Linked DNA regions of Mus musculus. Each later gene encodes a partner of the first gene's protein in a complex. Links are inferred from orthologs where the notes say so. Each region holds a gene or a part of one and is shown in the gene's direction. Other genes may lie near its edges.

Evidence for each region.
Region 2: Zfp541 (region 1) and Cir1 share a complex: the UniProt entries of both Homo sapiens proteins name them as parts of the histone deacetylase complex. The link is inferred for Mus musculus from reciprocal best matches to the Homo sapiens genes ZNF541 and CIRSR.

Annotation. Positions count from the first base shown.
Region 1 is NC_000073.6:16,092,029-16,095,847, forward strand, and holds part of Zfp541 (zinc finger protein 541), read left to right. Parts: intron 1-257; coding exon 258-333; intron 334-810; coding exon 811-899; intron 900-3,113; coding exon 3,114-3,254; intron 3,255-3,391; coding exon 3,392-3,573; intron 3,574-3,662; coding exon 3,663-3,819. UniProt on the Homo sapiens protein: Transcription regulator which is essential for male fertility and for the completion of meiotic prophase in spermatocytes.
Region 2 is NC_000068.7:73,305,820-73,309,638, reverse strand, and holds part of Cir1 (corepressor interacting with RBPJ 1), read left to right. Parts: intron 1-2,710; coding exon 2,711-2,784; intron 2,785-3,200; coding exon 3,201-3,211; intron 3,212-3,297; coding exon 3,298-3,362; intron 3,363-3,700; coding exon 3,701-3,749; intron 3,750-3,819. UniProt on the Homo sapiens protein: May modulate splice site selection during alternative splicing of pre-mRNAs. Regulates transcription and acts as corepressor for RBPJ. Recruits RBPJ to the Sin3-histone deacetylase complex (HDAC). Required for RBPJ-mediated repression of transcription.

The DNA of each region.
Region 1 (3,819 bases):
GAATGTGCCTCCCAAACCCACACACAGTATTCTTCATGAAAATGTCATATTGTGAAGGCAAATATGATATTCAAAGGGGTGCTTAGTGAAGTCATCATGGGCCAACAAATTTTCCACCAGCATAAGGACCAAACACCTGTAGGTCACCTTGAACAAGTTGACTATAGAGACATTTGTTTTTCAATGAAAGAAAGAAGAATGGAGACAGTCCCTGATTCCCATGCCTTGTGACTGGCCCACATCTCCTGTCCTTCCAGGTTGCCCTGGAGACTCTGTTACTCAGAGGACCCCAGAAGCCCCGGACTCACCCACTGGCTGACTATCGATACACAGGTGACAAGAGAAAGGGCTGCATGATAGCGGGGACCTGGCTGATTCCTGCCAGGGCTGATAGCAAACTTCACTTCTGCCTCTTCCCCTTGGCCTTCTTTCCAGAGCCTTTGTTTGTCTTTCTGAAGGGGTCTGTTCTTTCCAGGGGGGATTCAGCAGGCACTGCCTTGAGTTCACTAAACCCACCAGCCCTGTTCCATCATTCACTCAGAATTCTTCCAGCAAGATCAGTGTTCCTGACTAGAGCAGGGGATATGAACTTAAGCTGAGCACATCAAAGTCAGGCAGCTTGAGCCCACCTGCTTTTGTTAGGCCACTAAGGCCCCAGCCAGTTGCTCACATCTATAGCATGAGGATAGTGAGTCCCCAGCTTTGTAACACCAGGGAAGACTGAAATTAGTACATCATCAATGTTCATAATGTCAGTCAGGCTGTGGTCCCTTGAGAAAAACCTACCTTGCCCTGGCTGCTCCCCGGCAGGTTCAGACATCTGGACCCCCATGGAGAAGAGGCTCTTCAAGAAGGCATTCTGTGCCCACAAGAAGGACTTTTACCTGATACACAAGATGGTAAGATGACAGAGGGCTGGGGCAGCAAGCCCTGCCTCGAGGGCACAACTGTCCCTACCTGCCTGCAGCACATTCAGTACCTTGTAAGCGGCTTGTTACGCTTCAGTACCTTAGAAGGCTACCCTGCTGCTGCACTGCTTCTCATCAGTAAGTGCTGCTCACTCCAGCTCAGCACTTGCTGCCTTTCTCTGTCCTGATTTACTCCTGTGCATGTGCTGAAAAATACATGAACATAAAACCTAATTCTCTCTTCTGTTTTTGTTGTTGGTGTTTGTTTTTTGGTGTTGTTTGTTTGTTTGTTTGTTTGTTTGAGACAGTCTCTCTATGTAGTTCTGACTGTCCCACTATGTAGACCACGTTGGCTTCAAACTCACAAAGATCCACCTGCCTTTGCTGGAATTAAAGGGATGTGCCACTACCACCCAACTCTTTTCTGTTTTGTTTTGTTTTTTAAGACATAAAACTACACATAATCAAGGTACTGGGACAAATATTTTACATATGTATGAATCCATAGGATTGTCACCACAGGCAAGATAGCCACGTCTCTGTGATGCCCCAGTACTTCTTCCTTCCCTGACAGCCTATCGCACATGCCACTGTGCCTAACCCTCCATGTCCCTGGTCAGCCCTGGTCTGTAAGAAAGCTGTACTTTCTGGACTTTTGTATCACTAGGGCAGCCAAACAGCATTTGTTTCACACTTTATCTAGCTGCTTATACTCAGTATACTTACTTTGAGGTTCATTTGTGTTGCATTTATTAATAGTTCACCCTTTCTGCTGCTAAATAATACTGTGCTGCATGGATGTACTACAGTTGTATTTAATCACTTGTAGTTGATGGGCATTTGAGGGGGTTCCAGGCTGGGCAATTATAAAATAAAGTGGTTATGAGCATCATGTACAGAGTCTGCTCTCAGAGCTCACTACCCTTCCCAGCACTGTTTCTTTGGTCGTTTTTGGCTAGAAGGTGAATTCGTTCCTGTTGTTCTTTCTATCTTTCTCAGAAGCAGAAACCAGCTTCCATTTCCTTTTAACTTGGTGCTGTTTCCTAAGCAGAGGATGTGCTTGTTGACTTCTAGTTTGTGACAGCACATAAGCAGTTTCAGATCCATGTGGAGAAAGTGTACTCTGGAGTGAGGTGCTCACTTGGCCAATTAATTTCCTGGGAAAGTTTCCTGGGCAGCCAAAGTTTCCTCCCATCCTACCTCCCTTCTGCTGCCTCCTCTGCTTGGTGCTGGGAATGGAACCCACGTCCTCTTTCATAGTAAGCAATCTCTCTACCACTAGGTCCCACCTCCAGCTCTCCATTTCTGTTCCCTCCACCACCATCCAGAGGCTCTTTCTTTCTTGATATAAGGCATCAGTGTGTAGCCCAGGCTGGCCTCAGGCTCTCAGTCCTCCTGCCTCAACCTCCTGAGATCTAGGATTATGGCCCCATGTCACTCACTACACTGGGATCTAGAAGTCATTGGTTTGTTGTTTATTTAATTGATTGGTGCTTTGTTTTGTTTTTCAAGACAGGGTTTCTCTGTGCAGCCTTAGCTGTCCTGGAACTTTTTTTATATACCAGACAGGCCTTGAACTCATATAGATTCACTGCCCTTTGCCTCCTAAAGTGTTGGGATTAAAGACATCCACCAAAAATCATGTTTGTTGAGAAATAGTTGCTCTATATCCCTGACTGGCCTGGAACTCACTATGTACCCAGCCTGTCCTGGAACTCTCAGAAATCATGCTGCCTTTGCCTTGCCTCCAGAGACATGCGGTATGACATTCAGCCCAGGAGTCGTATTTTTGCAAGAATAAGTGACAGGGCTTGAGTGCTGTGTACACTCATAACTGTCCTTCTCATGGGGCTACTTTCCCTAGAGGGCTTCCTCAGCTATGTTTAGTTGTGGTGGCTGGAAGCTCACCAGAGAGGAAAGGCATTCTGTGTTAATCTCACCGAGTTTGGCTGTTGCCTGCTGTAATGTCCCAGTGAGCCTCCTTACCTGTGGGTCTTTATGTGTCTTCCTACAGGGAAGAAGCATGCTGGACTTAGTGCTGATGGCTACTGTGTGGCTTCACTTTGGACCCTTCACCACCCAGAAGGACCAAGATCCCTGCCTTTGCCCAGCCATGGGCAGAGACGTTGGGGAAGGGATTTCCAGGGTGGAGTTCACATGTGAGGTACTGCCCACAACCTGCTTCTGTATCTTCCTTCCCACTAGATCCAGACTAAAAGTGTAGCACAGTGTGTCGAGTACTACTACATCTGGAAAAAGATGGTTAAGTTTGATTGTGGCCGAGCTCCTGGGCTGGAGAAGAGGGGCAGAAGAGAGCTGGATGAAGTAGAAAGGACTGAAGACAAGGTAGAAGATGCATGATGAAGTGGTCTGGGTACTTCTGTGGTCCAGTCAGAGGGTGGTGGAGGCTCTCAAGGGAAGGTTTCCCTGAAGAAGACATGGTCCCACACCAGTGTCTTAGGTCATCTTTACCCTCTCTGTAGGTGACTTGCAGCCCTCGAGAGAGACCTACCCACCGTCCAACTCCTGAGTTAAAGATAAAGACCAAGAGTTACAGGAGAGAGTCTATCCTTCACTCCAGCCCAAGTGCAGCCCCCAAGCGCACTCCTGAGCCTCCAGGGAGTGTGGAGAGCCAGGGCGTGTTCCCTTGCAGAGAGTGTGAGAGGTACCAGCCTTCCCTCTGGACCTTCACCCTCTGGCCTGACTTGCTTCCCAAGCTCCTCTGGCTCTGACCCACATCCTTTGACTCCTCAGGGTGTTCGACAAGATCAAGAGTCGGAATGCCCACATGAAGCGCCACCGCCTCCAGGAGCATGTGGAACCCGTTAGGGTGAAGTGGCCTGTGAAGCCCTACCCACTGAAGGAGGAAGAGGAGGAGGAAGAAGAGGAGCTGGGGGCCGACATGGGCCCC
Region 2 (3,819 bases), on another chromosome or scaffold:
GAACTCCTAAGTGCTGGCATGTGCTACTACACCTGGAGTATGTGACACTAGGAAGCCGACACAGGCTCCCGTGTGTCAGACCAGCATTCTCCTAACCGAGTTATATCTCAGCCCATATATTAGCAACCATGCTGATCAGTATGGAGTGGTAGCTTGCAGTTTTCATTTGTATTTCTCAATGTCTACTGAAACTAACCTTTTCATGTACTTGATTTAAAAAGGTTGAATGGTGTTAAGACAAAATTCATAGATATTTAAAATACACCTGAATTTTTAACTTTGTTTAGTGTTTGTAATCCATCACCATATCAACTTTCAAAACATTTTGTCATCTGAAAAAGAAATTTGATGCACATTAGTAGCTGTTTTAGGTAGGGTTTCATTGCTGTGAAGAGACGTTGTGAGCAAGGCAACTCTTACATAGGACAGACTTGATTGGGGCTGGCTTAGAGGTTCAGAGGTTGAGTCCATTATTGTCATGGTGGGGAACATGACAACGTGCAGGCAGACATGGTGCTGGAGAAGGAGCTGAGACTTCTACATCTTGATCAGAAAGAGACTTGTATACCCCACTGGGTGTAGCTTACGCATCTAAGACCTCAAAGCCCACCTCCACAGTGACACACTTCCTCCATCAAGGCTACACCTACTCTAACAAGACCATACCTCTTAAGACTGTCACTCCCTGTGGCCAAGCATTCAAACGCATGACTATGGTGCCATTCCTATTCAAACCTCCACAGGAGTCATTTCCCCATTTCTTAATTTACCTCATTTCTGCCTGTTACAAGTAATCACCTTTTACTTTCTACCTATAACAGTGTAGTTTTTAAAATTATGCACACATGAGGCAAATGATTACAGAGTCTTTTGTGACTGGTTTATTATTTTAATTTTTTTTTCAAGACAGGGTTTCTCTGTATCGCCCTGGCTGTTATTTTAATTTTTAAAATATATTTATTTATATGTGTGTGTGTGTATGTGTGTGTGTGTGTGTGTGTAGTGGCATATGAGGACTTTGGTCCGCATGTGGAAGTCAGAGGACAGCTTGGTGGGAAGCAACTCCCTGTCTTCACATATGTGGGTCCCAGGGATTGAACTCTGGCCAGCAGTCCTGGGTGGTGGCAACTTTACCCTCTGAGCCGTGTTAGGGCTCCTGATTTCTTTCCCTTAACATGTTTTTGAAGATCATCCACCACTTACACTAGTGCACATTCCTCTTGATTAAAAATAATATTCTATGGGCTGGGGAGACAGCTCAGTGGTTAGAGTACTGACTGCTCTTCCGGAGGTCCTGAGTTCAATTCCCAGCAACCACATGGTGGCTCACAACCATCTGTAATGAGATTTGATGCCCTCTTCTGGTATGTCTGAAGACAGCTACAGTGTACTTATGTATAATAGATAAATCTAAAATAATAATAAAAATAGTAATAATCCTCAATAAAGATGTGTATGTATGTTCTTCTGTGTTTTTTTTTTAACAGACTTTTTTGGTATAGAATTCATGGAGAAAAGAGAATTACACACAATAATGTAGAATATCCTTTGACTTGTCTTTCCAAATACAAAGACATTCCATACTTTAGCTTTTTTTTAATACTTACCTTGGATCTTAGGGACTTATGTGTAACTCAGCATAGTCATCCTGTTTGCAGTGGACTTTTTCCCTACAGAGCCCAACAGCATGCTGTGCACACAGTCTACAGAAGGAGATTTCAATTGCTACCAAAAATCTAAGAACGTCTGAGGCTTTCATTGTATTAGCCTGTTAGAGAATTTGGTTCTCTGGGCTGGGAAGTTACCTCAGTTTGTGAAATGTTTATCATGCAGGCATGAGGACCTAAGGTTGGATTCCCAGCCCCCACATAAAAAGCCAAATTGTGGTAGGTGCCTTTGATCCTAGTTCTCTAGAGGTAGGGCTTGCTGGTTTACTGTTCTAGTCCAGTCAGTGTGAACCCCGGGCTTATTGAGAGACCATGTCTAAAAGGTAAGCTGGAGGGCTGGCCAGACGGGTAAAGGCAGTGCGATCCCTAAGACTCACACAGAGATAGAAGCAAAGAGCTATTTGCACAAATCTGTCCTTTGAGTTCACAGGCATGCAGACATGCTTCTACACACCACACAGTGACTTACAAATAAGGTGAGTGGATGAGAAAAGCACACACACACCCTTAGCTTCTGGCCTCCACGTGCATGCACGTTCACACACATACCACCCCCCCACACACACACACACACAATCCACAATTAACAACACTAAAATAGTTGACCATGGTGATGTACACCTTTAATCCCAGCAGAGATAGGTCTCTGTAAATTCAAGGCCAGCCTAGTCTACAACTCCAGTTCCCAGACAGCCACAGCTACACAGAGAAACCCTGTCTCAAAAAGCCAGAAAGAAAAAAACTAAATATTTTTTAAAGAAAATTAAAGGTTGTGGCACCAAAATATATAATAGCATACAGGATTTCAAAACTATTTCAGCAACAGTTGACAGTTTTAAAGAAAATCCTGTTAGAGTAACCATACCATGCTTTTCCTTTCTTACTGAGAGAACGGGAGGGAGGGAGGGAGCCTCAGGTTTATGGCAAGTTTCTAGTAAGGAGGCACTGTTCAGGGTTTGTCTTAATTTCTTCAGGGTTCCTTCCGAGAGATAGTGTGCTGTCATATTCTTCTCGACTTAAACTTTTATCATTATTTCATTCAGATTGCTTATGGGAGATGAACGTGTGAAGAATGGCCTGAATTTCATGTACGAGGCCCCACCAGGAGTTAAGAAAGGTACCCGCCTCGTTTCCTTTGAGCTTTGATGTAATTACCTGTAAAGAGTTAGAAGAGGGGACAGTATTTTAATTTTGATTTGTATTTTTCCATTGCTGTTGCTCTAACAATGTTGTCATGTGCAAAGCAAAATAAACAGTTTCTAATGTTTCTTATGTGCTTTGGAGGAAAATGCTCAATACTGGCAGAGGTACATTCAGCCCTCTCATAATGTAAACATACCTGTGGTCCTTATTAAAATAAATCTCCAAATGGAAAGTCTACTCATTGCCAGTGAAAACATAAAAGCTTAAAAATTAGGAACTAAACTGCCTATTCTGAACGATATTTCAGTGTTGTATTATATCCGTCAGTGATAAGTAGTAGACATTCTAACTTGTCCTGTTTCCCTCCTGTGCTTTGAATATGCAATCAAGAAAACAAAGAGGTAAAGTACTTTTCTCTGTTTGAATTGATCGGTAGTTGATTGTGATTTTATGGACAGTTGACAGATTTTTTTACTGACTGTTGTAGAAAGAAGAAACGGAAGGAGAGACCGAGTACAAGTTTGAATGGCAGAAAGGCGCTCCGAGAGAAAAGTGAGGCTGCTCTGTACGGGGAAAGCATAAGCTTGTGTGTGCTCCTGCTTGCCTCCTGCTTGTTAAGGTTCACTGACCAGGGCAAGGACTGGTGTGAGAGGGTGTTCTAATGACTTACCTCCTACAAACAGTGCGCTTCATTCAAGCCTGCTTTAAAACCTTATAGTACATTATCAGACTATACAGACACTTAAAAATTGATGCTGATTTTATACTTTATAGTAATAATACATTTTATAATGTTTTAAAAACTATAACCTTTTTTTCAGGTTAACTGTCATTGAATTTGTTAAATTGTTCTTAATATTATAGTCGTATGTTTGTTTTGTACTTAACAGATATGCCAAAGATGACATGAACATCAGAGATCAGCCCTTTGGTATTCAGGCAAGTAACATACTTATTCTTTAAGAAGAATTTTTATTTAGTACATATATATTTACATTATTTTCCAAAA